Linked DNA regions of Struthio camelus. The main gene of each other region encodes a partner of the protein of the gene in region 2 in a complex. Links are inferred from orthologs where the notes say so. Each region holds a gene or a part of one and is shown on either strand. Other genes may lie near its edges.

Evidence for each region.
Region 1: the proteins of SFN (region 2) and KCNK9 are in contact, whole or in part, in a crystal structure (PDB 3P1P), measured with the Homo sapiens proteins. The link is inferred for Struthio camelus from reciprocal best matches to the Homo sapiens genes SFN and KCNK9. Residues at the interface, in NP_006133.1 of Homo sapiens: Lys49, Arg56, Arg60, Lys122, Asp126, Arg129, Tyr130, Glu133, Gly171, Leu174, Asn175, Val178, Glu182, Leu222, Asp225, Asn226, Leu229, Trp230; in NP_001269463.1 of Homo sapiens: Lys369, Arg370, Arg371, Lys372, Ser373, Val374.
Region 3: the proteins of SFN (region 2) and RELA are in contact, whole or in part, in a crystal structure (PDB 7O6I), measured with the Homo sapiens proteins. The link is inferred for Struthio camelus from reciprocal best matches to the Homo sapiens genes SFN and RELA. Residues at the interface, in NP_006133.1 of Homo sapiens: Glu14, Tyr19, Leu43, Ser45, Val46, Lys49, Asn50, Gly53, Gly54, Arg56, Lys122, Arg129, Tyr130, Gly171, Leu174, Asn175, Val178, Glu182, Ile219, Leu222, Asn226, Leu229, Trp230; in NP_068810.3 of Homo sapiens: Ala43, Gly44, Ser45, Ile46, Pro47, Gly48, Arg50, Ser51.

The regions. Positions count from the first base shown.
Region 1 is NC_090943.1:167,692,448-167,696,189, forward strand, and holds the start of KCNK9 (potassium channel subfamily K member 9), read right to left. Parts: upstream 2,274-3,742; 5' UTR 2,187-2,273; coding exon 1,610-2,186; intron 1-1,609. UniProt on the Homo sapiens protein: K(+) channel that conducts voltage-dependent outward rectifying currents upon membrane depolarization. Voltage sensing is coupled to K(+) electrochemical gradient in an 'ion flux gating' mode where outward but not inward ion flow opens the gate.
Region 2 is NC_090964.1:6,831,681-6,834,451, forward strand, and holds SFN (14-3-3 protein sigma), read right to left. Parts: upstream 1,509-2,771; 5' UTR 1,331-1,508; coding exon 590-1,330; 3' UTR 501-589; downstream 1-500. UniProt on the Homo sapiens protein: Adapter protein implicated in the regulation of a large spectrum of both general and specialized signaling pathways. Binds to a large number of partners, usually by recognition of a phosphoserine or phosphothreonine motif.
Region 3 is NC_090976.1:907,002-910,743, forward strand, and holds the start of RELA (transcription factor p65), read right to left. Parts: upstream 2,918-3,742; 5' UTR 2,837-2,917; coding exon 2,827-2,836; intron 2,343-2,826; coding exon 2,298-2,342; intron 1,273-2,297; coding exon 1,124-1,272; intron 591-1,123; coding exon 442-590; intron 1-441. UniProt on the Homo sapiens protein: NF-kappa-B is a pleiotropic transcription factor present in almost all cell types and is the endpoint of a series of signal transduction events that are initiated by a vast array of stimuli related to many biological processes such as inflammation, immunity, differentiation, cell growth, tumorigenesis and apoptosis.

The DNA.
Region 1 (3,742 bases), on a different chromosome or scaffold from region 2:
TATTCACTTAGCACAAATAAATGACAAGAGACATATCGAGGAATAGAGAATTGGTGATCAGAGCAGGAGTAGAGTTCTGACATCGTAATGAATGACAGGAAATCTAATTCATTTGCCTCGCTATTCCAAAGTTGTATTCTGCACTATAATCTATAGCCTATTAATATATACTATAGATATAGATATAGATAGATAGATAGATGCATGCAGTAACATAAACAGAAGAAGAGATTAGCCCTTAAAAATCTTATCTTTGTAAGGACAAATAGACTTCAGATTGTTAAGATGGTCTTCCCTAGGAAAATATTTACTGCCCCAAGTAATAAAGTCAAATACAAATGTAAGAAAATACAAAGGATGGTGGACAGGACATTGTGCTGAAAATTGACAGTATCTTGAGGTGAAAATGTGCAAATTTGCTGAACAAGTTCTAAACAGTGAAAAGATCATGTCTTTCCGTATTAGTGAGAGAGCTAGTCTTTCTTGTCCTGTTCAATACAATCCATTGTCAAATATCCACTGAACAAGAGAAAGATTTTCAGGTCTCCCCAGATGTTAGAGGGGGACATCTAGAAGTGCTGTGAGAAGGACATATCAACAGCCTCACCAAATACACCCTAATTAATACAAAACAAGGGAAAACACACCTGTTCATCAAGCCGAAGCAAGAGTTGTAGCACAGTTCTGTTGGCACATTACAGCCTCTAAGTTATCATGGTATTTATTTTTACGGCAGGGAAGCAAACTTTATGAGAAACGCTCTGTTTTAGCTGAGCAAAGCAGAGAAGTACAAAAGGACAGTCTGTGGCTCTGTCCACTAACTGTCCCTCTACAGTCTTGGGAAGTGGCACACTTAGGCTCAGCAACAAAGATGTGACAGCGATATCATTTTGCCAGTTTGACTGTGTGCCTGCAAAGCGGAGACACACTCTATGACCTGTTGGCACATCAGACTATCTAACTGCACAGAAAACTTCAGGAACGCATTGGGAATGCACAGGAGAGACCCAGCTATGGGACCACAGCTGTAGGGAACCCCTGCCACAGCCCTTGTCAATGTTAAAACAAAGTTTACAAAAGTGGGACTACACAGCTACATCAAGAGGTTTTGCAGCTGATTCATTTCCGATGCTCTCCGCATTTTTGTCCGCATCCAGCAGCTTTTTGCCTAAGTTTCCCTCGTGACTTTTAAGCGAAGGTGCATGCACAGTCGAAGGAGGTGCACAGCAACAGGGCCTTGTTTCCTTGCTGAGGAGGTTGTCATCATGCCTCTTCCCCCCTCCTCCTTGCCACCCCGGCCACAGCTTGCTGGTAGCCACCTGGCCAGTGACAATCCCTCCACCTGGCCAGTGTCATTCCTCCGCAGTCCCACCCAGGGGACACAGACTCCATCTCCAGGGGAGGAGGTGTGGGACACCTCCAAGTCCAACAAGTGCCCATGGAGAGCAGTGAATTGCATAACACAGTTCCCGTGGGGGGGGGGGGGGGGAATCAAGAGACTCATCTTGCACTTAACCTTTTGCACAGCCCCCTGCCCCTCTCCCTTGCTCCCAACCACAGGGGGCTCATGCCTCAGCCCCAGCAGGCCTCCCCGAGGTGAGACACTCACCAATGGTCGTGATGACCGTGATGGCAAAGTAGAAGGAGCCGGCGAATTTCCACTGGACACCAGCCCGGTGCGGCTCGGACTGCATGATCACCAACTCCAGCTGCCGGTAGTCCTCGGTGGTGATGTTGTACTTTCCTTTGAGCCGGATCTCCTCGGCTTTGAGTTTCTCCTCCTCCCGCATCTCGTTGTCGGACTCCAGGGCATCAAAGACGGCAGCCCCGACCAGCAGGTAGGTGAACGTGCAGATGATGAGGGACAGGGTCCGCACGTTCTGCCTCTTCATGGCCGCCAGCAAGGGGCGAGTGAGGGGACCATGTCCCCCCCTGGCCGCCCGGGGATCCGACAGGCCGCAGCAGCCGCAGCAGGGGGGCAGCTGCCGGGGGGGCCGGCGGCGCCCACCGCCGCTGCTCCGGGGCAGCTTGTGCTGCGGCGGCGGCTGCTCCCCGCCTGCCTGCTCGGGCTCCTGGGAGGAGGAGAGGCACAGGAGGCTGCTGGAGCGCCGGGACCAGGTACCCTGGAGCCGGGAAACTCTACGCAGGACTTGCCCAAACCAAGCCGTCCCGGTGCGCAGGGCCATCCAGGGCACGGCCGCTGCTCCCCAGCACCGCGGCCAGGGGCAGGGGGTGCCCGCCGCGCTCTCGCCGCGGGAAGGGGGCGCTGGGTGGCTCCCGGCCGAGGGGCAGGGGGGCCCCGGGCCGGAGTCCTGCGGCAGGCGGGTTCTGCCCCCCCACCTCCTCCTCCCAACACCCACCCACCCACCTCCCCCCCCCCCCCGCGCGAAGTCTGCGCGGCGGCGCGGGCGAGGGCTGCCGGAGGTCACAGGCAGGGCGCGGAGGGCAGCCGCAGACCGTCGCCGTCCCAAGTTTCTTCAGGCGGTGCCGCGGCAGCGGCGGGGAGCGGGCGGCGGCTGCGCGCCCATCGGCGGGCGGCGAGGCGAGGCGCAGCGGGTCCCCAGGGCCGCGGGGGGCCGGCCCCGGCTCCGGCTGCCTCGGCGAGCGCCGAGCCGGTCGGGTCGGGTCGGGTCGGGTCGGGCTAAGCGCTTGCCGGTGGGCGCCTCACTCCTTCCGCGGCGGTGCGCAGGGCAGGCGGGCTGCTGCAGGTGGCCGCGGCGCGGGTAGCGGAGCGGTGTCCGGCGCGGCGAGGACGGCGACGGTGTCAGGCGGCGGGCGGGGAGTTGGGGGCAACATCCCCGGGCGCGGCGGGGCCGGCGGGGCCCTGGCGGCGGCAGCAGCGGCAGCGGCGGGGAGCCGGCGCCCCGCAGGAGCCGCGGCGAGCGGGAGGAGCGGAGCGGAGCGGCTCGGAGCCGCCCCGGCTGGCGGGCGAGGAGGGAGGGCGGAGAGGAGGCGTCTGCCGGGCGGTCCGGGAGCGGCGGGGCACCTGCGCGGGGCAGGGCGGCGCCGCCGCCGCCGGGAGGAGCGGAGAAAGCGAGCGCTTTGCCGGGGGAAGAGAGCCGGGCCGGGAGAGAAGGGAGGGGGCTCGGCCCCGCACGGACACAAACCCCAAGAGGAAAGGTTGGGCGAGGTGGGGGGGAGGGAAAAAAAAAATAAGAAAGAAAGAAAAAAAAAAAAACCGCTACTTTCACGGCTGCTCCCCAGGCGCGCGGGGCTGGGCGCTGCTTTATTTTCGGAGGGTTTTAGAACAAAGCCGTTAAGAAAAAGAGCAACCGTCCTCCTCCTCCTCCTCCTCCTTCCCCCAAGCTCTTGACATCATCTCGGGGAAAAGCGAGCCCGCGCCCCTCAGCCATCGCCCGCACGCGTGTGCGTGTGTCTGCGCTCCGGCGGGGCGGGGGGGGGGGGCGGCTGGCCCCGGCCCGCCGCGGGCAGAGCCTTCACCCCGCCGGCGCCGCCCTGTCAGCGAAAGGCCGCGGGGCTCCCCCGGCGCGGCGCCTTCCCGGCCCCCCGAGCCTGGCCACGCCCCGGCGGGTGAAGCGGGGCCGGGCTGTGGCGGTGGTGGCGGTGGTGGTGGTGGTGGCGGCGGCGGGGCCGAGCTCGCTGCGGTGGCCCGGGGCTCGGCGCGGAGCGTTGTGGCGGTGGGAGGGCAGCGCGGGACGGGCCGGTGGCCGCGCCCGCTGCGGCCTGGCTGCCGCCGGCTGTGGCGGAGCGTTAACGGCCGGGACAGGTGGCGCGCGCGCGA
Region 2 (2,771 bases):
CCCCCCCGTCACCGCCGTCCCACTCCGGGATGCCCCTTTACTTCCCCGGGTGCCGGCTGCGTGGGAACCTGCCCCGCTCCAACTTGTCCTTCCTCCTCCTCCTCCTCCTCCTCCTCGCCCCGGGGCCCGGCGGGGGGCAGCGACGACGCAGAGCACAGAGGCAGGCGTGCAGGTGAAGTTTTATTGGGGATGCACCGAGGCTTCGGCCCCCCCCCTCGCCCCCCCCCCCCCCCCACGGCCCGTCACCTCCTCCCGCTGCGAAGGGGAAGCCGCAGAGCAAGGCACGCCAGCAAGCGAAGGACAGGGCCGCCCCGCGCCCCCCCGCTCCCCGGAGCCGCCGGGAGCCCGTGGGCATCCCGCCCCGCTCTGCCGCTTGTTCCCCCCTCCGCCCCGGGACGCGGTGCCGGGGGGATGCGGGAGGCGGTTTTGGGGGGGGGGGGGCTGCCGGGGAGGAGGGACGGGGAGCCGAGATGCCTTACCCCCCCCCAAAAAAAAAAAAAAAAAAAAAAAGAGGCAGAAGACGGAAGAACAGAGAACAAGGTGGGGAGGGAGGAGGTGGGAGCCGGCGGCGGCTCCCCGGGGCGGTCGCTCAGTTCTTGGGCTCTTCGCCGGCCTCGCCGCCGTCTTCGCCGGCGCACTCGGCTGTCCATAACGTGAGGTTGTCCCTGAGCAGCTGCATGATGAGGGTGCTGTCCTTGTAGGAGTCTTCGCTGAGCGTGTGCAGGTCCCCCATGGCCTCGTCGAAGGTGGTCTTGGCCAGCGAGATGGCCTGCTCGGGGGCGTTGGCGATCTCGTAGTGGAAGACGGAGAAGTTGAGGGCCAGCCCCAGGCGGATGGGGTTCGTGGGCTGCATCTCCTTTTTGCTGATGTCCATGGCCTCTTGGTAGGCTTTCTGGGCACTGTCTATCGTCTCCTTGCGGTCATCCCCGGTGGCCACCTCGGCCAGGTAGCGGAAGTAGTCTCCCTTCATCTTCAGGTAGAAGACCTTGCTCTCCGCGTCGCTGGCCTTCTTGATGAGATACTTGTCCAGCAGGCCCAGGACGACGTTGCAGACGCTCTTCAGCTCCTTTTCCACCTTCTCACGGTACTCGTTCACCAGCTGCGCTTTGTCGTCGCCCTCCTCGGTTTTGTGCTCGATGCTGGAGATGACCCTCCAGGCGGAGCGCTGGCACCCCACCACGTTCTTGTAGGCCACGGAGAGCAGGTTGCGCTCCTCGTTGGACAGCTCGTCCCCGTGCTCCACCACGGCCTTCATGAAGTCCGCCATGTCCTCGTAGCGCTCGGCCTGCTCGGCCAGCTTGGCTTTCTGCACTTGGTGGTTTCTTGCCATGGCTGGCGGCGGGGAAGGGGGGACGCGGGTGGACGGGCGAGCGGCGGCGCGGGGGGAGACGGAGCGGCGAGGAGCGGGCCGGTCGCCTTGGGGAGCCGTCGGAGCCTCTGCCGAGCGCCGCCGCCGGGATTCGCTTTTGGCCGGGCGTCGGAGCCTGGAGCAAGAGCGGGAGGAGCCAGGAGGCCGCGCGCAGCCTCCTTCCCCGCGTCCCCGTCCCCGTCCCCGCCGCGCCGCCCCTTGCGAGGCAAAATTGCCGTGATTCATCGCCCCGCCGGGCAAAAAAGGGGGCGCCGGGGAAGGGGGGGGGGCGAGCGGGGCGGCCCCGCGCCCGGCCCTCGCCCCGGGGCGGCCCGGCCCTGGGCCCACCGCTGGCGGCGGACCAAATTAAAAAAAAATTTTAAATTAAATTTGAAAAAGCCCCAGAACGGTGCACCCGGGCGCTGCCGGGCGGCAGCAGGAGCTGCAGGGCGCGCTCGGCTCCCGCCGCCCGGCCGGCGCGGGAAACGGGCCGGGGGGGCAGAGAGGGTGGAAAAGGGGTTGGGGGGGGCTTCCTCCCCCGCCGCCCACCCCAAAAGCCTATCAACGAATCAGTGCCGGTTTTCGCCGGTGGCTGGGAATCGCCGCGGCTCGCCGGGCAGGTGGGAAACGGAGCCGGGGCTGAGCCGCTTGCCTGAGCCCCGGCCGGCGCTCCCGGCTCCCATCTCACCCCCCCCCCCCCGCCGCCGCCCCCAAATTAAGGTGAAATCAGCTCGTTTCGTTGAACTACCAGGCTGCCGGCTGCCAGCAGCCAGACGGACCCAACCGAAAAAACACCCCATAACTCGAAACAGGACGGTCGAGGAAGAGCGACGGGAGGCTGCACTTTTGGGGACGACTCTGGGCGTTTTGGGGCTTCGGCGGGCCCCCAGAGCGAGGTGCCCGGCGCCCCCGGCTCGGCCTCTCGCCCGCTCCCGGCCGGCCAGCGGGGGCCCCTCCACCCCCCTCGCTGCGATTCCCCCCGCGGCGCCGCCGGCCGAACGGCTCGCCGCGGACTTTGCCGATCTCTTCCAAACGCGATGGAAATGATTCTTTTTTTTTTAACTTTAGGAAAAAAAAAAAAAAAAAACCCGCCGGCTCGCTCCAGGTGTTGGCTGCCCTTGGAAACGCGCCGGCCAGATTAGGATCTGCGCTTCATGTTACGCTGCAGTTTCGCTCTGGAGCTGATTAAGCCTGTTCCCACACGCAGGGCGCTGACTGCGCCGGGAGGCAGCGCGGCCAAGCCGGCTGCACCCCCCGGGCTGCCCGCCGCGCGTGCGGCAGCCGTGCGGGAAGGGCAGGGTGGCGGCGCCCGGCCGAGGCCAACTGTTTTATCAGCGTCACCCGCCGCTTTACTCATGGCTGCAAACACCCCCCGGCGCCGCCCCGGCCGGCTGGGCACGTGCAGCGCATCCCTGCGGCGGCG
Region 3 (3,742 bases), on a different chromosome or scaffold from region 2:
AAAGGGCCCAGGTGTCCGGGCTACCCGAGAAGGGCCCAGGTATCCGGTCCCCGACTTAACATGTGCCCCAACCCTGAAGGGCCCAGGCGTCCGGGCTGCCCAAGAAAGGGCCCAGGCATCCGGGCTACCCGAGAAGGGGCCCAGGCATCCAGGCTACCCAAGAGAGGCCCAGGCGTCCGGTCCCTAACTTAACGCGCGCCCCAAACCCTGAAGGGCCCAGGCATCCGGGTTACCCGAGAAGGGACCCAGGCGCCCGGGCTACCCGAGAAGGGGCCCAGGCGTCCGGGCAACCCGCGCGACGTCACTCTCGAGCACCAACTCGGCCTCGGAGCGGCCGCCGCGTCCCGTTCTCCGTCCCTCTCCCCCGAAGGGCCCAGGCATCCGAGCTCGCAAAGGGGCCCAGGCGTCCGGCTCGCAAAGGGGCCCAGGCGTCCGGCTCACCTGTGCACGTTGCGCTCGGGCGCCAGCTCGGCCTCGTAGTAGCCGTCGCGGCAGTCCTTGCCCACCAGCTCGTGGGGGTGCGGCCGGTGCGGCGCCTCCTTCGTCACCAGCGACACCCGCACTCGCCCCGGGCCCCGGTAGTTGTTGATCTGCGCCAAGGGCCCAGGCGTCCGGGGAGGGGCCCAGGCGTCCGGGAACCCCCCTCTGCCCCCGTGTTCCCAACCCGGGCGTTAGAACCGCTAAGAGGGACCCAGGCGTCCGGGCAGAGCCCAACCTCCGCGCTCAGCTACGGTGGGTGGGAAGGGGGGCCCAGGAGTCCGGGGAGGGGCCCAGGTGTCCGGAAAGGGGCCCAGGCGTCCGGGTGGCACTCAGGTGTACAGGGGGGCTCAGCTGTCCGGCGGGGCCCAGGTGTCCGGGGAGGGACCCAAGTGTCCAGGGGAGTCTAAGCCCCCAGCCCCAACCGCTGGGGGGCTACTGGGAGACCCTGGAGGAGCTACTGGGAGCATACTGGTGCGCACTGGTCTGTACTGGGGGCTCACCCGGATGGTGGGGTGGGTCTTGGTGGTGTCGCTGCTGTGCTCGCCGGGGCTGGGGGCCCAGGGGGGGCGCGGGGAGGGCGCTGGAGGGTTACTGGTGCGCACTGGTCTATACTGGTGCGCACTGGTCTATACTGGGGGCTCACCCGGATGGTGGGGTGGGTCTTGGTGGTGTCGCTGCTGTGCTCGCCGGGGATGCTGCCGGCCGAGCGGCCCTCGCACTTGTAGCGGAAGCGCATCCCCCGCTGCTTGGGCTGCTCGATGATCTCCACGAAGGGGGCGCCCCCCCCCGGCTCTGCAACGGGGCCCAGGCGTCCGGGAGAGCCCCCCCCCCCGCCCCCCCGGCTCTGCAACGGGGCCCAGGCGTCCGGGAGAGCCCCCCCACCCCCACCCCCCCCGCCCCCCCCCGGCTCTGCAACGGGGCCCAGGCGTCCGGGAGAGCCCCCCCCACCCCCACCCCCCCCGCCCCCCCGGCTCTGCAACGGGGCCCAGGCGTCCGGGAGAGCCCCCCCACCCCCACCCCCCCCGCCCCCCCCCGGCTCTGCAACGGGGCCCAGGCGTCCGGGAGAGCCCCCCCACCCCCACCCCCCCCGCCCCCCCCCGGCTCTGCAACGGGGCCCAGGCGTCCGGGAGAGCCCCCCCCACCCCCACCCCCCCGGCTCTGCAACGGGGCCCAGGCGTCCGGGAGAGCCCCCCCGCCCCCACCCCCCCCGGCTCTGCAACGGGGCCCAGGCGTCCGGGAGAGCCCCCCCCCACCCCCCCCGGCTCTGCAACGGGGCCCAGGCGTCCGGGAGAGCCCCCCCCCCACCAAGCGATCCAGGTGGCCGTGTGACCCCCCCCCCAAAAAAAGGGACCCAGGTGTTTGAGTGACCCCCCCCAAAGGGGCCCAGGCGCCCGGGTGACCCCCCCCCAAAAGGGGCCCCGGTGTCCAGGTGACCCCCCCCCAAAAGGGGCCCAGGCGTGCAGATGACCCCCCCCCAAAAGGGGCCCAGGCATCCGGGTGACCCCTCCCCCAAAGGGGCCCAGGTGTCCGAGTGACCCCAACACCCCCCCCAAAAGGGGCACCGGTGTCCAGGTGACCCCCCCAAAGGGGCCCAGGCGTCCGGGTGACCCCCCCCCCCAAAAGGGGCCCAGGTGTCCGGGTGACCCTCCCCAAAAGGGGCCCAGGTGTCCGGGTGACCCCCCCCCCCAAAGGGGCCCAGGCGTCCGGGTGACCCCCCCCCAAGGGGGCCCAGGCATCCGGGTAACCCCCCCCCAAAAGGGGCCCAGGTGTCCGAGTGACCCCCCCCCCCGACCCCGGACGCCTGGGCCCCCACTCACCCTGCAGGCCCCAGTCCTGCTGCAGGAGGAAGGGCAGCAGATCGGCTGCGGGGGGGAGGGGGGGGAGGGAGAGACGAGCGGGGGTGTCAGCGGGGGAGGGGAGCCCGGCCCGGACGCCGGGGCCCCCTCCCGCCCCCCCCCCAACCAGCTGCCGCGCCATGGGGGGGAAGGGAGGGAAGGAAAGCGGAGACGAAACCGGCTGCGCCTCTCTTCGAGGCTCTACGGCCGCGCCGCGCCGCTATTAGGCGCAGTGCGGGAAGGCCGCCGCCGCCGCCGCTACCGTAACGCACCGAAGGGGCGCGCACGCCGCGGCGTCACGTGACGGGGGGACCCCCCCCCCACCCCCACCGCGCGCGTTAACCCTGAAACCTACTGACGCCGCCGCCAGCGGGGGGAGAGTAGGGGGGATCCCCTGACGTCACCGCGGCTTGACGTCACCGGCGAGGCGGGGGGGGGGAACCACCGATTTCGGGGAGCCTCGACCCGCCCCCCCCCCCCCGGCGGAAGGGGGTGGGGGAGGGGCACTCACCGTTCTCCATCTTGGCCGGGCGGAGGGGTGGGGGGAGGGGTAGGGGGGTGGGGGGGGTCCCCGGTGCCGGTGGGGGCGGGGCGAGAGGGGGGTGGGCGGGGCCGCCGCGCCCGGGCGCGACCGTCCGGTCCCGCCGCCGCCGCCGCCGCCGCTTCGGGCCCCGCCGCTACCGCGTCGCCATTCGCGGAAGTGGCCCCGCCGCCCCACGTGACCCCCCGCTGCCGGGAAGGCCCCGCCCCCGGCCCCGCCCCCGGCCCGCTCCGCGTTCTGGCCCCGCCCCGTCCGGCCCCGCCCCTTCCGCCCCCTCCGCGCTCCGGCCCCGCCCCCATGCAAATGAGGGGGCGGGGCCGAGCGGCAGGGGCCGGCGGGCAGTTGCGGCCGGCGGAGGGAGGCGAAAAGAGGCGCAAAACCAGGCGGGGGGGGGGAACCCATAATGGGGGGGGGGGAACCCAAAAGGAGGGGGAACGGATGTGGGGGAACCGAAAACGGGGGGACCTATGGGGGGGACCCATAACGGGGGGGGGGACCCATAACGGGGGGGGACACATAACGGGGGACACATAACGGGGGGACCCATAACGGGGGGACCCATAACGGGGGGGGACCCATAACGGGGGGACCCATAATGGGGGGACACATAACGGGGGGACACATAACGGGGGGACACATAACGGGGGGGACCCATAACGGGGGGACCCATAATGGGGGGACCCATAACGGGGGGACACATAATGGGGGGGGACCCATAACGGGGGGACCCATAACGGCGTGGGACACATAACGGGGGGGGACCCATAACGGGGGGACCCATAATGGGGGGACCCATAACGGGGGGGGACCCATAACGGGGGGACCCATAACGGGGGGACACATAACGGGGGGACCCATAACGGGGGGACCCACAACGGGGGGGGAC